Drosophila melanogaster: one gene and its partners. The protein of the gene in region 1 purifies or fractionates together with the protein of each later gene. This does not show direct contact. Each region holds a gene or a part of one and is shown on either strand. Other genes may lie near its edges.

Region 1 (4,689 bases):
AAATGTATGGAATAATCCTATTAATAATGGGATATATTTCGAATATTGAACACTTCACTTTGATAAAATGATAACAAAAGGACATACCCTGTATGTGTGTGAATTTATCATTGATACTGCATTTAACAAATACACAATATAAATTTGCTTGGCTTTAGCACTTTTTGCCCGAATGGGGCAATAAACAATTTACTACCAACGATGTGTCAACTGTCATTGTCTTGGACTGATTTAAATACTATTAATTGGCCGGCAGACAAACGGCGCTATTTGCATACCATTTATCGCATTTGATATCTGGTCATATATGTATATTTATTTGGCAATGCCATATATGCGATGGACAAAAGATCTGCGAAATTCCAAAAGTCAGCCAATGAAGATCAACGAACAAAAGATGACAGCCCGTACACAAAGCAGTTAAAAAGATTTATTACATTTCCATGTGGCATCAACGCGGCGGTGGCAATAATTTCGTTTGCATAATTGTCGTTTAGTAACCCCCGAATCCGTACGGATTTCATAATATCAATACCATTTTGATATAACTAGGTGCGAAGACCCAGACAACAGTGATATCCTCTTATCAGTTTGCAAGCCCAAATGTATCTCAAAAGTTGACCATGTTCCACGAATAATTATTATGCTGATAAGATTGATAGCACGAACAAGATTAATGCATTAATTAAAATCAATGATAATTTTTTTTTTTTTTTGATAAGGATATCCCTTTTATTCCACTTGATGGGTACGTGTTATAAGTTATCATATTCGTGGTTCCTTTAATTTGTATCCATTCAATTTGATGTCATATCTGTATATTAACTTCCTTTATAGAAACTGAAACTTAATCTAACATTCTTTTCTATTGACTCAGCTGAATTTTGGAAGATATATACGTACAGATCTTAGCTATATATATGTAGTATAATAGCGGCCACGCCATCTGAAATGGAATATGTTGATTTGCCTTATGAAACTTCAGTTGATTTGGTGTCCAGATTGAAATTAAGATACATTTCCATAGTGCTTGAATCTTTTACTGCTCGAAATATTGCTCTAGTCAAAAGGGGTTTTCGATTCGTTGTTCGATTTCCTTGGTTCTGGTCGAGATTCATGCCCCATTGACGCCCTTCTATTGAAACGCTTTGTGAGTACCTTTAGCTATCGAGTTCTGGTTTTTTTTTAATGTATTTTCTGGCCTTTTTATGTATTTTACCGGGAGGGGTCTTAACAAAAAATATTACATGTGTCGTTTAGGGAGTTTTTTTTGCCCGAAAAAGAAACGCCCTTGAGGGGGGGGGGGGGTAATGAATACGTTGTGGCTAAGACGAGATTGACAACATTTCGGGGGATTTGGACAGTTGGGTATTGGAGGAGACCCTCTCCATCCGAGGGCTCTGAACTAAGCTAGATCCCAAAATGAAACCTGATCCTCTACAGCCGCCCGTAGTGTGCCTGGCTGGGCTTTCGGTCCGTAAAGAAGTTCCTCAGCACCATAATCTGGACGAGACCGATCACGATGACTGCGGCCGTCTCCAGGGATGACCAGACCATAACCCGCTGATTGAGATCTTCGGCCCGCTTGCGACCTTGCGCCTCCCTCAGTCGATGATGCGTCTGGGCGTCCAGGATGTCGTTGAGGCCCTTGTGAATCGCCTGCGACGATGTCTCCATCTGTGTGAGCACCGTGGCATGTTCATCCACACCGGGCAGAGCCGGCTCCTCGCCCACTTGGAAGTCCACGTAGACGATCTTGTGCGAGAAGGCCGAGAATTGATTGCCAAAGCAAGCGGTATACACGCCCGTTGTCTCGGCAACGAACTGATGACTATCGAAGGTGGCCTTCTCCAGACTGTAGATGACCTTGCCCTGCGGATCCTTCAGGGTGACGTCCACGTCCAATTGGCCACCGGCCGACACCTGGAACTCAAAGTAGGCGCTCGAGTTCTTCTTGATCTCCTCGTAGAAGCAATCCACCGCGTTATCGGCCAGATCGAAGGTGAATTCGACGGCAGAGATGCAGTGCATCATCAGAGCTACCGCAAATACAACGATTTGTGTGTTCATGGTTCGCCCTTTTTGCTTTTTGGTATTCCCTGCTGGATTCGTATGATTCCCTGCTTCACCGCCTGTTATTCTTCCAGCTGCAAAAGAAATGCGCTCGGTCAGTGCCAAGATTCCGGCCAAATGCTATGCCACCTGTCATTCCAATTCCATTTACTTACCAGCCTCCGTCCGGATTACGTGACGTGTTTTTGTTATTTGTGATATGCTATCGATATCGCCAGCATTCGGCGTTTTGTGTTATTCGCCGCACGATAGGTCTGGGGTTCTGACGTGTCAACACTCTTTTCCGCCACTCGCTGTGCAGCACTGCGGACCCACGTATATGCTATCGGCTACTGAGCAGCAGAGTTGCCACTCTTTTTTTTTCTTTGGCGCCATTATCAAAAATTGTTAAGCACTTAAAAATAAACTTTAACAATAAACATAGTTGTATACATATATGATTAAAAATTTACATATATATATTTTTTTTATATATTTATATTATAAATTTTAAAAGTACTAATTTTTTAAAAATGTACATTTCAGAATTTGAATTGTAAAGCCATAATTCTTTAAGAGTAAATGGAGAAAAAAAGAAAAGCGGAACACCGTCTACACCTGCAGGTGTATCAGTTCTTTCTTGGAGAGAACGGTGATCAGATTGTTTGCCGTGGTTATGCCCAGAATCTCGTCAATCTCGTTGCCCAAGGTGATGAGCTTTTGTTTACCCAAGGTGACGGGAGGTCCGTTTCGCCTGCGGAGACCATCAGCCGAATTATTAGCCGGAAAGTAGACGAGAACGTAGCGTACAGGGTCACATATGGCTACGTAATCCAGATCCGGACTGCAGACGGTGAATTTCCGCACAACCTTGGAGGCCTGCACGTAGCCGAAGGCGTGCAGCTGGCCCTCGTGGCGGACACTCCATTCATCTGGACGACTGGGCTGGTACATCTGTAGCCATATGGAGGCGTCGACGCCCTGGCGGGTAGCAAAGGCGGCTGGAAAGCCAGGACGCAGCGTGGTGGTGAGCACCAGTGGCGGGGGACCAAGAAAAATAGTGTGGGTGATGCACCCGCTGGTCAAATTGAAGCGTACTAAAAGAAGAAAATGTATTTATTAAGCATATGCAGCAGATGTATAATAGAATGCTTACCCATCTTCATTTCTTCATCAGCGGATATTAAGTCACATTCTTCAACGGGATCCTGCAGACTTGGAATGGGCAGTGGTGGAGCTTCCATTGGATGTACTTCCTCCGCTACGTCATCTTTCTTCTGCGCGAACAAACGTGGCCAGTTCTGAATCTCCGCCTTGGTTAGTGACAATTCTAGGCCATTCTCAGCCAACTTAAATGCACTTAAATCATCTCCCACACTGGCGTATAACTCTTCGTCGAATATAACCTCATCCAGATGCTTTACAACGACAGTGGTTTTAGAACCGCTCACGTTAAACTCTTTAGCGGATGCAGTTGAAGGAACATTGAAACGAATGAGCACATTATTATCCGTTTGGGACCAGCTATAACTAGGTGGACCTCCATTTTCCAGCTGGCCATCGTGATCACCTGAGGAATTCAAGCGGGCAGCGGCTGCTTCATCGGCTGCCCGACGCTCCTCGGGAGTCTGAACATCGCGGTTGCTGGCAATGACTAGGGACTCGGCGCGAGGCTCAAAGGCGCAGTAGTGCACAGAGCCAGTGGTCTCCAGCCGTTGACAGATATTATATGACCACTCGTCATTGGTGGGCGAATGAGTCCACCGTGCCCAGGTCAAGTCCATGTAATAGACGTGCGTCTGATCTTGGCCAACTGCATCACGGCGTGCCACATGACCGGCCACCAGCGAGATCTGCTTACGTTCCTGCAGCACATCCAGCCGGGCATCGAAGAGTGCAAAGCCGCGATGACCACTGTTATTATTCACCGGCGAGCGTGTAATCCGTTGCCACTCCTGCACATCGGTGCGCGTTCTGTCGCCGGTGTCCACCAGATGGTAACTGGTTATACCGTCGCAGATCACACAGAATCGTTCCGAAACGAAAACTATGGTGTAGTTGTAGTCACCCGACCGATGTAGTTCCCCATCGCCCTGATCCCTATAGTCCACCGTGAGGACAACGCGCTGGGCACGTGCGCGTCCAGTCTGTAGATCGTAGTTGCACTGCACCAGCTGGTGGCGCTTGTTAAAGAAGTAGCTGCAGTGGCGCATCCATGGATCGGCTACCAGGTGATTGTGTCGGGCAAAGAGCTCCGTGTGCAGCAGCGAGAACTGATTGCTGCTCGGATCCAGCACGTAGGCATCACATCCAAGTTCCTGGCGAAGAACAGGCACCGAATCGAATGCCAATTTGTAGCCAGAAAAGTCCGAGCACACCAGGTTGCGATCCACTTTCAGTTCCACCACCGGCATCTTGCTTTACTGCGCCAATGCTGAGTTGGATTATATTGGAGATTTCGAAAAAATAGAGATAGATATTCCAAAACAAATCAAATCAAATCGGTAGTAGACCGGATAGAGATGGCAGATGACCGTTCGGCCGTGACTCGTATCGACTTTTTATCGACAAGTGGGGGATATGTACGATACCTTGGCAATTTTCAAATCTAATAAGATTCCTTTTTTTAGTTTGAAA
Region 2 (5,579 bases), on another chromosome or scaffold:
ATTCACAAACGTCTTGGCCTCCAGGTCAATGTTGGCTGCTGCAGTTGCGCACTAAAATAAATGACAATCAATTAAAAGCAGCAAATTCACTTACAATATTATTGCTATTACAGGCTTAGTTTAGTCTAGGTCTTCTAAGTATCCTCAAACTATATAGAAACTGACACGCATCTAAATGAAACATATTTCAAACACGCAAAATTATGATTTAAAGTTATCTAAAGACCACATCTTTTTGTGGGATCTTTGTGGACCCATAGATTATTTAATCGGTACAGTGCTTACGCCAATGCCCGCTATCAGCACCAGAAGCAGCAGCAGGCCCATCTCCTCGGGAATCGGTTTCACTTTCGCACTCAACACCGGATCTGCTCGAACTGAGGTGCTCCGGCCGTGGAGCTGGCATTTAAAGCTTCTCCCGGGCGGCTGATAAGCCTAATCAGCGAGAGATTCTCGCCCGGAGGCCGAGCCACAATAATTGAGAACAAAAGTGGGATTGTGGAATGCCATGATGTCTTGTTTATTAAGCGGCTCAATAAAGATGCAATAGATTGCTAAGAGTTGTATATCTAGAAGTGGGCGAGGTCATGGAATCGGGTCAGGGCGAATCGGGAAAGCGAATCAGGTGCGGATCGTCTAGTTTGGGCGCTGCACGGTGCGGTTCTCGTGGCGGATGTTCACGTCCACGATGCTCATGTTGGGCGTGAGGAAGTTAACCAGGCGGTCGACTCCGCTGCGGGGCAACCTGTCGAAGGGGAATCCCATGGACTGGCGATCCGGGTAAAGACGGTCACGGACGCCACAGTAGGAAGCGGCATCGCTGCACCGACCCACCAATTGCTGGTCAATCTGGAGGTGGAGATAATTGTCAAAAATATCCTTGATTTACTAGCCAGCTAACATACCCTGTCGTTCTCATAGTTCGACACCATGATGAACAGCACGCACTGCAGTCCCTCGGGCAGACCCTTTGGCACCAGCATGTGGTTGGGCCAGCCGCAGCCGCAGAAGTTGAACTCCAGCTCCTCCGGAGTGCCGGCCGCCGGACGATTGGCATCCAGGTTGCGGAAGGTGCGCTCGAACGGAATGGTCACGCTCGACTCCGTGGAGCGGCGGCGGATGGTGTTGGGTCCCGGGTTCAGCGAAGTCACGAACTTGTCCAGCTCGATCATCATGGAGCGCTGATCTCGCATCAGCATGGGCTGGCCACGCTCGTCGTTCTTCGGCGCCATGAAGATGCGCACGTAGCCGAAACGCTGGGCACCACTATCGTTGTTCAAACTGATGGTATAGGTGAAGGGCAGATGCTGCAGGTGGGTGAACCTGGCGAAGACATTACCTCGCGGCAGGAAGTCGAAGCCACGGGACATGTCCACGTCCGACTGCTGCCAGAAGGTGGTCAGATTATTGGGACGACCTCCATTGGTGTCCACCTGGATGCCCGCGATCGAGACGCCCGGGTAGTTTAGTTGGTTCTCGGTATAGGCGGGCAGGCGCGACTTGTGCTCCTGGAAGATGCGGTCGATGTACGAGTGCCACTTGTAGAAGACCGGGTCGCGCATGGCCGTGGACACATCACCCATCACGCCAAAGGACTCCAGGTGCTTGCTGGTCGGATCGTGGGCGTACGAGATGAAGGTGTGTCCGTTGTTGTGCAGGTCACCATACTAGGGGAGCAATAGGATTAATCCCTAGAATAATTTACTAAGGGTAAGGACTTATTACCAGCACTCGGTTGGGCGACAGAATGGATGATTCAATCATGTTGCCGAGGGTATCAATGCCCGTCGCCTCATCCAATGGCACCCGGTTGCCACGCTCCTGAAAGGGAATATGGCATGTTATTTAGTTAATGGAAAACCCACCAACAACTCACATCCATGACAAATCCTTGGTGAATGGCCTCGTAGATGCGATCACGCCAACGCTCCAGATCTCCAATCTCCACATTCAGCTGGTCGGACTCCCGGTTGAGATCGCTCAACCTGGTGCTCTCGAAGCGCGGTGGCCACGCGCGGCTGGCTACCAGAGAGTCCATCTTGGGGAAGTAGCCCTCGGCAATGGGATCCCTCAGGTTGTTGAAGGGCAGAACCCTGGCCAGGTTGTTGCTGAACCGCTCCGCATTGTAGCGGGCGATCACCTGCTGGTGCATGTAGTAGAAGAGCTCGCCACGACGATCCTTGGCCACTATGCTGCGGTCGGAGGCCTCGAAGGGGTAGACCAGATGCCAATGCCAGTGGTGAAGGTTGATGCCCAGATCCTCGCGGAAGTACCACAGCCGGTGCTCGGGATCCAGATCGGAGGCGGTGTAGTCCCTGGGAATGGTGATGGGCATCCGGGAACCGGGCTGCACCACAAAAGACTCCTCCCGCATCTTGCGGATCACCTGCGAGTCGATGAAGCGGTCGGGGAAAGTCTGCGAGAAGGATGGCAGATCCAGGCCCTGGGTGTCCGGACGATGGAGCAGCGCCACCGACAAGGCGTAGTTGAAGAGCACCGGGTTGACCCGATCCCTGGCGTACACCGCCACGCTCTGCAGGTCGTCCACGGAGCGCATGTTCATGAATATATCGATCAGGCGGCCGGCGATCCTGCGGTGCTTGGGCAGGAACAGCGAGAACTGCTCGTCCCGGCCCAGGGACATGGGGATCCGCAGATCGGGAATGGAGATCTCCCGGACTGGAACGCGCTGCTCCACCTTGTCGCCGACGCGGCTCTGCACCTCGTTGCTGATGGGTCGGTAGCGGTCGGTCAGGAAGGAGTCGGGCACATCGAACACGGTCACCCTCTTGCCCTTGTCCATGAACACTGGCTCGGTGGGATGGTCGAAAAGCAGGAGGAGATTCTTCTTGTCGGCCATTTTCAATGGGATGTCAGGGAGGACCTGCTGGATCGCGGAGCAAACTAAATGGGGAATGTGACTGGAAGTCTGGGAACTTCACGACTGTGACTATTCACCGAAAGAACTGCACATTTTATACAAAACTTCGAAGGCACTAGTATCGGTTTTGAAAACCACAAGAACGCCTGAGAATTGAAATTGTCGACAAATTGCGGCGATAAGGATATAGTATGGAAACCGCAGTGTTGTTTTAGCATATTTCTAAAATGCAGTTTTATTATTTCAAGAGTATTTCATTTGGTTTTGCTTTAGCTTATCTATACATATATACTATTGGAATGAAATCGGATTTTGTTATCTCTGGGATATGCCTGCGTTGTAAATCAAAACTTCTCTACGCACACGATCCTCCGGTCAGATAGCATCACATCTAAACAATTTAATATAATAGTATGTATATATATGTAGCTACATGCATAATACGGCAATAATAGTTATTACAATTCGGCTATAATCGATCAATTCGTCCCTAATTCCCTACTACTGCTTTGATATACAATACATATATTTATTTAGCATAGCGCTAAAAAGAGAGATACAACGAGATATTTGGCGAGTGAAGAGATGAGCAATATCGTACGACAAGCGGATCTACATATATATAGCGTGTATATACAGGAAGTCTGTGGAAATTGTATGCTGCTGTTTCCGTTTCCGTTCTCGTATTCGTTGTGTAAAAGCGATAGGTTCAGTTGGTTAGTTGTTTAGATCTTGTAAAATGTATCTCAGAAAAGCCCTGGGCATGTCCCGTGTTCCTTGGCCATGATATGTAGTGTTTAAGCTCTTAGAATATAGAGTTGTGGGGTCTTCAGCTTGGTTCCGATCTCTCAGCCCGAAGAGAAAGTAAGAGGTGATGGCTTTTGTGTGAGTGTAAAGACTTTAATCACATCCAAAAATGCATACACATGTATTTACATAATATCGTGCAGTATAAACCAAGAGTTGTACAAAAATATATCTATGTTTCTGTATATATAAATATTCGATCGTGTTCGGTGTACATATGCAATTCAAAACAGAATTCAGTGCCGTTAACAACTCAAAACTGTTGTTCAAATCGATGTGTTGATGGGGATATATTGTAGTTTGATTTTAGTTCGGTTCAAGCGCATTTTTATCTACCCTTGTATACATATACATACATATAAAACTGGGGAATACGATCCGGTAACGTCGGGGCATACATAGTTACAAATAGTTCTCGGTACATACATATAATACTTGTTCGATTTCGTTTTCGATTTTGATTCACTTCTCAACTTGGGGAGTCGGTTGTCTCTAAGGATTGCATGTGTATATTGGTGCCCAAATAGTTTCAGACTACGCTAAAGCTACGGATAACATCTAGTTCTAGTTCGGTTTAGTTTGCCTTTGCTCGTTTCTTTCGATTCAATTCAATTCAAATCGCTTGCTCAACTTGATGGCTTCAAAGTACAGAGTACGGAGTACACACACACTTATATATCGAGGAACTTTCACTACTTTCAACAATATCGACATCAACAACGGGGATCCAACGAAATGTACACTTTAAACGACTATCCGGTGCAAATATACATGGGTTACTCGATCGGAGAGAATGCCTGGCCTTTGTACTGAGGTTCGCCCGTATCACACATCCGCTATCCGCTATCCACTAATCCAATTCAACACTGTGCCTACTACTTACTTACGCAGATACTTTGAACGTCTGGGACTCAGGTACAAGTTTCTTTCGATGCGACGTGGTGCAGCTGTATTAACCGAAGGTCAAATCAGAAGTTTCAACCCAAAAACCCAAACCATAAAAATGCGATCCCAACCCGCGCGCCCCACATCGTGGGCTGACTTCCGTTCCGTTAACTTAGTTCGAGGAGGTGGTGTTCTGAAACTCCTGCCGGCAGTAACCCATCACAATGTCCGATCGGCAGTCGCCGCCCATTAGACCCGGCAGGAGCACCGCCGCCCCCAAGATGGTCACCAGGGCTCCGAAGACCACCAGGCCCAGAGCGGGCAGCTTCTCCCGGCTGAGCAGGGCGTGCGGCTCCATCTGAATGTAGGCCAGGCCGGGCAGGATGTAGGCCAGGGGAATGGCCGCCAGGAGACCCTGAAATGGGTGGATTGTTGAATGTACTGATGGGCTGACGGGCTGATGTTCTGATGGGCTGGCTGATGGGTGGGGCATAAATTTGCATGGCAAATACAAAGACGGGTTCCGGCCAGAATTTGTAGATGCCGTTTGGGATTGGCGTTGTGGCCAATACCCGTGACTGGAATACAAGGGGCAAATGGCTACGGACGATAATAATAAACTTGGCCATACGGTTCTCCCTTTGGTCTGGCAAATGTGAATGGTGAAATCGGAATTAGTCTCAGATGTATTTAATGAAGCATTTGGTGGATTCTTTGTTGCATAGCTTTCTACTTGAATATATGGACTTTGGGAATTGGAATTTATTCTCTTTCATCTAGGCCAAATATTCACTCGGAAATAAATGCAAACGAAAACCGTAATAAATAATCTTTAAGTTTGCAAATTGCTTAGTCGAAGTTATCTCGATGATAAATGGTCTGAGCATTATAAATGATAAGAAATGTGTTCTTTCGGAAACTAGGAACATAAATGATTAATTTGTACATTAAAAAAGGTTTTGGGTAAACTCTTGCTGATTGTGATTAAACTAAAACACAAGTAAGC
Region 3 (4,112 bases), on another chromosome or scaffold:
TTCGTATATGGAAGCCGCATATGAACGTCCTCAACGGCGCCCTGCAATCCATGGGTCAGGTCCTCCAATCCTATGAGCTGATGGTCTACGCCAACGGAAGCATCACCCTGTACGCTCAAAACCTCCAGCTGGCCAGTTGGTGTGTGGACAGTGCCCGAAACTGGCCAAGCGAGCGAGTGACTTGCGACATCGAGCTGGGTCTCAATGGCCAGGAGGGGCAGGAGAATGTGGCGCTAATCTACGATGATCAGCGCAAGCCGATTGCGCCCAATGAGCACGTGAACACGCCATCCGGCTGGTCGTTCACGCAAATGTCCGTGGTGCTGGTGGAGAACGATTCGCAAAGGCGATACAACCCCAAGGGAATGATGCAGAAAATGACCGGCGATGTGGCAATTGAGTTCACGCTGCAAAGGAATCGGAGCTTCTACATGACCGTCTTCTATTTGCCGTTGATTGGTAATATGAAAATGTGTTTGATTTCTTGTTATGGAATAACATATAACTACAATATATTCTTTCAGCCTGCCAGATGTTCCTGATTTTGTCCTTTGTACTGCGTTCTACTCGTAGGAGTTCCCTCATTCTCATCGCCTTGCTGATTGCCGCCTGGGGTTTAATGTACATGACGCGCTACGCCTCTCCGCATTATGTGCCGCCCATGAGTAAGTTTTAAATCAATTAACTAAAACTCACTGTGTATAATTTTCAAATTCAAATTTTCACTTTTCCTACAGTGACTGCATATAAAGTCATCATGATGACCACCACCTATTGCTACATTCTGCACATCTGCATTATATGGCTGGATCTATATCCACCCAGATCGAAGGCTCCTGGCTGGCTGGTTAGGGTGATTAACTCCAATGTTCTGCGATGCATTCTGGGATTGAGATTTTCGGATGTGAGTAGTTAAGCCCCTATTGAACACATATACGTATTGCAATTCACTATATTCCTACAGTCTACCGACTATTGCGACATTCAGGAGAATCCCTGGCACCATATGGCCAAGATCCTGAACAACCTGAGTTCAATCTTGGTCATTATAACCTTTGCCATCGTAGATATTACGAGTGGGTTTTGAAAAACAGAATTTTTCTTTATTGTGCATTTGAGAGAATATTAATGGTTCTTAAATAAATAAGAAGTAAACAGAGAAGATTGTGAAGATTTTGCGACTACAAGTTGAAAAAGTGGGAGAGCGTGCTGGGCTGTTGCGACTCCTCGCAGTTAATTGCTGCCATTGTTCCAACTCCGATCCGGGATCGATTTGGATTTGGAGTGTTTTGGTATCGGAGCTTAGTGGTAACCGTATCCACCCAGGGACAGGGCAGGTGCAGCGTATGACTTAACCAGGGCAGGAGCTGCGTAGCTGATGGCTGGAGCCGCATATGACTTGACCACCGTGGGAGCAGCGTAGCTGATGGCTGGAGCGGCATGGGCGTAACTGATGGCTGGAGCGGCATAGGACTTGATCACCGGAGCTGGAGCAGCATAGGCGATGGCAGGCGCAGCGTACGACTTAACAATGGGCGTGGCATGGGAAACAACCTGTGCATGCAAAGTAGATTGTAAGATTAAATGGGAAAATATCAGAGTATATCCAGATCTTACCGAGCTGAAGTGCGAGTAGCTGGTGGCTGGAGCTGCCACCTTGACCGCCACAGGAGCAGCATAGGACTTGACCACCGTGGGAGCGGCGTAGCTGATGGCAGGAGCGGCATGGGCGTAGCTGATGGCTGGAGCGGCATAGGACTTGATCACCGGAGCTGGAGCCGCATAGGTGATGGCTGGGGCAGCGTAGGACTTGATGACTGGAGCTGCAGCTGCATATGTTATGGCAGGAGCGGCATGGGCGTAGCTGTAGTCCGGAGCCGAGTGTCCATAATCAAGGAGTCCAGGAGCAGCAGTGGCCACAGCCAGCAGAGAGGTAAGGATCTGGCGAGGTAAATGGAAAACCAAACTTTGATGTTAATCTTTTTGATCTAGTGAATATAAGATCGAGGTAATCCTTGTATGAAGATATCCTTTGCAGTCAGTATTATTGGCTTAAAGTGATAATACTGATCCTAGGCCGCATCCTTTCCAACCCTTTCCACTCACCAGAAGTTTCATGCTAGCGCTGGATAACGAATCACTTGGCTTGGAGGGAGAATTGCAACTGTAAGTGGACGTGTGCATTGCGTTACTTTTATACCCCTCGACGGCAGACCACGCACTCGCACTCTCGAGCGGACTGCGAACTGCGGACCGGAGGACAGGTGGTCGAGCGGACAGATCTTGACTAGATTTCGATCTGAGCCTCGGACGGACAAACAGTCAGCAGACAGCAGTCAACAAAGCGGGCCAAGCAGCACCAATTTGTGAAGTATCTCGGCTGCAGTGAAACTGCAATTCTCGTAGACGCAGCTCGGATTGGAGAGCCCCCAAACGCGGATGACGCAACCTGAACTGGAGCTGGGAGTTGGGAGCTCCGAACCGAAGGCAGACCACTTGCCGGCTAAGGAGTCGCCGCAGGAAAGGCGGTCTTTACACTGGGGGTGCCATTGTGGCTCGCATTTGGAAAGCGCACGCTAATTGAAATCGCTGATTAGCTGGCCAATTTGGGCAACGCGCCAGGTGACACGCCCCTCGAAAGCACGCAGCCTTGCCACTAACAACTTAATTAGCCAACGTAGAATGCCGTCTAATTGTTTTCGTTGCTATGTTTGAGTATTCTCGAAACAATTCTCGGCGTGGCGCTGGGAAATTCTCTCCAAATTGCATAATGAACGCTTGCCAAATCGGCAAACGCCAAAACCAAACACCAAGCAGCAATCCCCTCTGGCCGAAATATCTAGGCGAGCTTCATATTTATCTTTATCGTGCCTCGAATGCCGCTGCGTGCCACATTTGACCATATTGGATGGGTGATTTCAGCCGCAGCCACGCCGTCTCGTCTCGAGGACACTCGTGCGTGGCGAGGGGGTTTGGATCGAGTGGAGGCCCCAGTTCGCCAGCTCCAGCTCCAGCTTCAACTCGCCATCGATCCATCGACTTTGCCGGCTGAAATTGCCGGTTCAGCATCTGGCAGTTCGTGGGATTTTTTATGGCCGACTTGATTAACCCCACGGGATGTGCGGGGGTACGGAGGTGTGACATTGGGTCATCACAAAATTAATAATGCTACAAATTGTTGAGAATGCTCGTCGTGATCCTTATCACGGATTAATAGTGTCTCAAGTAATCATTATATCACTTATTCGCTTTAAGTATAGATATGGTGTATATATTCATTTCTTAAATGATTTATATTTTTGTGGACTTTACATAACTTTTTGAGACAATAAGGTAGTCCGTGTTTAAATACTTGCTTTATATATTAGGGTTAAGAAACTAAAGTTTGGAAAGCACATAATGTCTCAGATTAGCGCATGCAACTTGCAGCACTTCAGTGGAGTTCCTCTCAAGAGGTCTCGAAAACACCACTTCAACGCCGAAATCTCGTAAAAAAAACTCGAAAAAAAACTTAGCACAATGAGAAAAGGACAGCACGAAACGCCGCAAAAGAGACAGAGAGTCACCTGCGATCGCAGTTCATGCATAAATCATGCATGCCAGTGGAATGTGATTTATGTGAATTCTATTAGCAAATATTAAGTCAATAGGAGCAATTGTTGCCAGTGGTCGGCGACTGCCAAACAAGTGTTCCATGTCCAATTCGATCCGGACAGATGCGGACAGATCGGTGTTGTGTGTTGTGGTCGGTGTGTCGCCGGTCCTCATAAATAAAAGATTTCCCAGCCACTGCCCCACATTTTGGCCAGGTGGAAAGCAATTTTCCAGCAATCGGTCGGTGGATCAGAAGGGTGGCAAACTCGAATGCCAAATTGCCACATACTAAATGACGATTTAAGGCGATCAGCCGATCGATCCTCGTCTTGGTTTTTATGGCTTCGATCGAGAGGCGAGTCTTTAGCCGCATTTGGATTTGGCGATCGGGCGGCGTGTGCTCCAAAATGGGTGCAAAATGCCGCGAATTTTGGATGACGGGCCTAATTAGCCACTGGCCACAGAATGGATGAGAGAATTCAAAGCGATTGCCCAATGGATCGCAAGCGCAGAATTCT
Region 4 (3,903 bases), on another chromosome or scaffold:
GTTTTCCGTCAAGTCTATTTTCGGTCAAAATGTTGGGGCATTAAGCCAGTATATTTAATATTTTTGTATTGAACTCACCATATGGGATACCCTGAAAATTATAATTTTAAATGTCTTATAAAAAAATATATAGACATAAGAAAGAACGCTTGAGTCGATTTCCTCAACTATCAGTTACTCCTTACTCAGCCGCTGGAAGTGCAAAGAAGAAAGTTCAACTATATTTTTGGCATACTGAAATTATTAATATTTAATATAAATTGCAATTTACTATTCATATATTTCACTAGATATAACAGCATATAGTCCTATATATCCCATCGGAATCGGGATCATCGCCTAACGGGTTTCAGGGGTCTGCAGTGGGCGTTAAGGCGGATTTGATCTGAACCGCATTACTTTGCATGGGCATTACTTAACTTCATCGCGGCCATATCAAGTTTGTGCACATTTTTCTATTAATAATTGCAAGTGCGAGTGTGCGGCGATCAAGGCAAACCGCCCCTGCTCCAGATCGAGTAGTACTCTCGTTTTCAGTTCAAAGACCAGTTCGGTTCGACGGCAGTTTGTACTATGAGTTGGCAACAAAGTTGTCCAGCTGCCGAGCAACTGCGTCTCATTTCTGGAGCGGCTTTTTGTCAACGCCCCTGCTGTAGCGCCGGTCTGAGGCCCCGGAATTGATTAATTACTGGCATCGGTAATCGGCCATCGATCGAGATTGTTTTAAGCCATTTAGCTGTCCAATGTTTGCTGCACTTGAAGGCGTGGGAGTTGGGCTAAGGGTGTGGCTTCTAATTGCCGTTAAAAAAGGTGAGTCGATCCCCTGGTAATTGCGTAAAAATTATTTGAAATAAATATTCTGGGACCACGATCTAGATACATCTGCTAATGGCATATAAATAGTTACTTAAGCGCTAGCAACCGTAACTAAAACGCCTTTCAACTGTTTTAATAACATTTTTTTATTCAAAAAGAAACAAATTTCCATGTGACAACAGCGGGGTGGATAAATATAGACCAGAGAGTAAAGCGGAAAGCGATAGACTGGATAGGATTGACTTAGATTGCTGAAGAAATGAGAACCCAACGGGATCTCAGCAGAGGACAGACCTTTCGGTAACTTAAAAAACCAAAAAATGTGGTAAAGATGCGAGCAAGTGGCGGTCAGGATCAATGTAGGGGTAATCCAGAAGTCATTTCAGGTGATTACCAGGTGCCTGGTGCGGGTTCCAAGTTCACGGAAGCAGCGGACTGCACATGTCCTGGCAGAGGAGCCACATGGACAGCTCCACGGGTCTTGGCCACATAGCTGGCCTCCGGAGCGGCGACGGCCACCACGGCGGGGGCGTGGGCAGCAACCACAGCGGCGGGAACGGGAGCGGCAACCACCGCTGGTCCAGACTGGATGAGCACGGGTCCGGCTGGGGACAGGGACAGGGGAACGGCAGCGGGAACCGCAGATGCCTGGATGGCCACCGAACCGGCGACGGCGGGAGAACCGACCACCAGACCATGGGCGGAGGTCAGGAGAGGCACCACCGAGCTGTTGACACCCCAGGCCAAAGCGAACAGGACTACGACAACGGCGAACTGAAAATAAGAATCTTGATTTAGATGGAAACTCAGGAACTATGATAAAAATAACTTATTTGAAGTTTTTTTAATTTTGGAGTTTCTCTGAATGGGGTCGTAATGTGTTCAGCGATCTGATATTAATTTATGTATAACTCGATAAAGATCTTTTATGTCTACTTTTGCAGCATACCAATTTGTATAGAAATGTTTTACTAAAAACAACATAAATCCCTTCATGTTGTCCTTTTACATAACACTAGCTGTAACTAAGCTCCAGTTATCCGATATCCCTTCAATCTCACCTTCATGTTGGCTTTTGTGATCTCAGTGACGCTTGAAACGAAACTAACTGACATCTGCCCGTTGGCCAAGTGCTTTTATAGCTCCGATCCATAATTTCATTTAGCATATAAGGCCAGTTCTCGGATTGATCAGCCATGTGTATGTTTGCTGCACAAATGCGGAAACCGGGCCAGAGAACAAACCACGTAATACCTTCAGTCCCAACCCCAACCCCAACCCGAACCCCTTGACCTTCCCGAATCAATAACCACAATTCATTGACGACAATTCAAGTGCGCGACAATTAGCCACACCGGTTGACATGACGAAAACAAGACTGGTCTCATTTGATTCGGCCAATCCATAACCATGACTTCAATATCTGTATATGATATACACTAAAGCCATGTCTCGGGTGCCCCTAACAACAATGGATAGGCAAATTACAAGCCACCGCAGCACCACTGTGCCTCTGTACCACCATCGCCCCACACACATTCAGCACCACTGGCTGTCCATTTAAATTTCATCAGCAGAATGTAATTAAATTCACTTCGGTTAGCTCGCCCTGAAATTAATGTGCCGGCCGCCAGTTGTCGGCAAACTGATCCATTTTGGTCACCGACTATAGATTTCTCGATTGCATTTGCATATCACTAATGCAGTCAACGCCAACATATGTCCAGGAATACCATATAAAAATCAGAGTCCATATGTAGGAAACGATTTCACTACAAATATTACCAATCCTTAAAATATGAAAATTAAATTTTGTAAATTTTATTTGGTATTTAAATATAAAATAATGGTTTATAATTTAATATATGTTAAGTTATACCCCCTTTTGTAGAGTAATCCGTAATTGTATATATAGAACATATTTATTGATTCCATTAAGAAACGATAAGTAAATCAAACCACTTTCGCTTTTAAGTCGGAAAGCAATTCTACGTAATAAATTACAAAACATTTGAATATCAGTAGAGATTGTCATACGTTTAATTTTTTCTAAGTAAGAGCTGTACATTTTAGGGTAAATTTTTGTGAAATTAAAAATTTAACAACACTATATCTTTCATTTAACAGTCAATTAAAGCTTTTGTCAAAGCAAAATCTTCAGTCAGTATACACAAATAACTAATTCCGTTTCAAGCAAGCATACTTTATATTTTCGAGTACTATACTTGATGTAAAGAACTCCCACTGAGAAGCAGAATCAGGCTTGGTTCTAGAAAGGATTCGGAGGCTTTAAAATGGCACGCCTGGTGTTTACGGAGAAAGATCACAATGCATACGATCCCAAAAAGTATAAGGTAACCACTGCCGGAATACAGTCCATAAAATGAGCATTAATCTCCAACTTTTATGTTCATCCAAAGGTGGTGCACAAGAACCACTGGCGACAGGTCAGCCTGCTGCTGCAGCCTTCCAACAAGAAGTGGTGGGAGGATCCCGATGTCATTGTTGCGTGAGTAGAGAACATTGAGGGTCGAACCACCAGCCAGGTGGGCGGTGGGGAAGTTTGAGTGGTTGGCACACGTGTGTCAGAATTCATTGCCGTCAAGTGCTTTTCGTGCTGTTTATGGCTACACTGAGAGGAATACTTAGTAATTGTAGGTAAATCAAAAAAGGATTTTGCATCAAGTGAATAGGATTCGGAATCAAAAAAAATCTTTTGAATTTAATCTTGAAATACAAATTTATACCTTAACAACACAAAACTCCTTTCCAAAATTAGCTGCTTTTCTCCTGTGCACTCGAGTTGGCCAATTGGTTGGTTCGGTGACTCTGACACCGATTGGCTCCAATGCAGCGCGCTGCCATTCAATTAAGATTCTTTGCCACAGCCGCAGCCATAATATTTTATTGCATCCATCAAATTGTCAGACTTACACATAAAGTATTGGCCTGCCACACCCAGAAATATTTCCATGCCAATTAAATGTGCGATGGGGAAATATTCGCACTCAATTGCATCACATCGTCTGATAAGATTATTTATCACTAATCCATAAACTAATCCTGCTGCCCAAACTTGTCAAAAAA

Evidence for each region.
Region 2: the proteins of p24-1 (region 1) and PPO2 purify together in Drosophila melanogaster (affinity purification with mass spectrometry, with the first as the bait; one large-scale study listed by BioGRID). This does not show direct contact.
Region 3: the proteins of p24-1 (region 1) and CG34205 purify together in Drosophila melanogaster (affinity purification with mass spectrometry, with the first as the bait; one large-scale study listed by BioGRID). This does not show direct contact.
Region 4: the proteins of p24-1 (region 1) and CG7203 purify together in Drosophila melanogaster (affinity purification with mass spectrometry, with the first as the bait; one large-scale study listed by BioGRID). This does not show direct contact.

The regions. Positions count from the first base shown.
Region 1 is NC_004354.4:11,850,193-11,854,881, forward strand, and holds p24-1 (p24-related-1), read right to left. Parts: upstream 2,339-4,689; 5' UTR 2,229-2,338; intron 2,148-2,228; 5' UTR 2,071-2,147; coding exon 1,438-2,070; 3' UTR 717-1,437; downstream 1-716. Other genes in the region: CG10347 (uncharacterized protein), read right to left, coding at 2,665-3,149, 3,209-4,466.
Region 2 is NT_033778.4:9,041,761-9,047,339, forward strand, and holds PPO2 (prophenoloxidase 2), read right to left. Parts: upstream 2,950-5,579; 5' UTR 2,861-2,949; coding exon 1,877-2,860; intron 1,822-1,876; coding exon 1,726-1,821; intron 1,668-1,725; coding exon 906-1,667; intron 850-905; coding exon 637-849; 3' UTR 501-636; downstream 1-500. Other genes in the region: Ance-4, read right to left, coding at 1-51, 286-327; CG13743 (uncharacterized protein), read right to left, coding at 4,746-4,988. UniProt on the Drosophila melanogaster protein: This is a copper-containing oxidase that functions in the formation of pigments such as melanins and other polyphenolic compounds.
Region 3 is NT_033778.4:22,129,027-22,133,138, forward strand, and holds CG34205 (uncharacterized protein), read right to left. Parts: upstream 2,274-4,112; 5' UTR 2,185-2,273; coding exon 2,107-2,184; intron 1,942-2,106; coding exon 1,618-1,941; intron 1,555-1,617; coding exon 1,303-1,554; 3' UTR 1,088-1,302; downstream 1-1,087. Other genes in the region: NtR, read left to right, coding at 1-459, 525-665, 738-904, 965-1,087.
Region 4 is NT_033779.5:7,751,225-7,755,127, forward strand, and holds CG7203 (uncharacterized protein), read right to left. Parts: upstream 1,963-3,903; 5' UTR 1,884-1,962; coding exon 1,878-1,883; intron 1,591-1,877; coding exon 1,207-1,590; 3' UTR 946-1,206; downstream 1-945.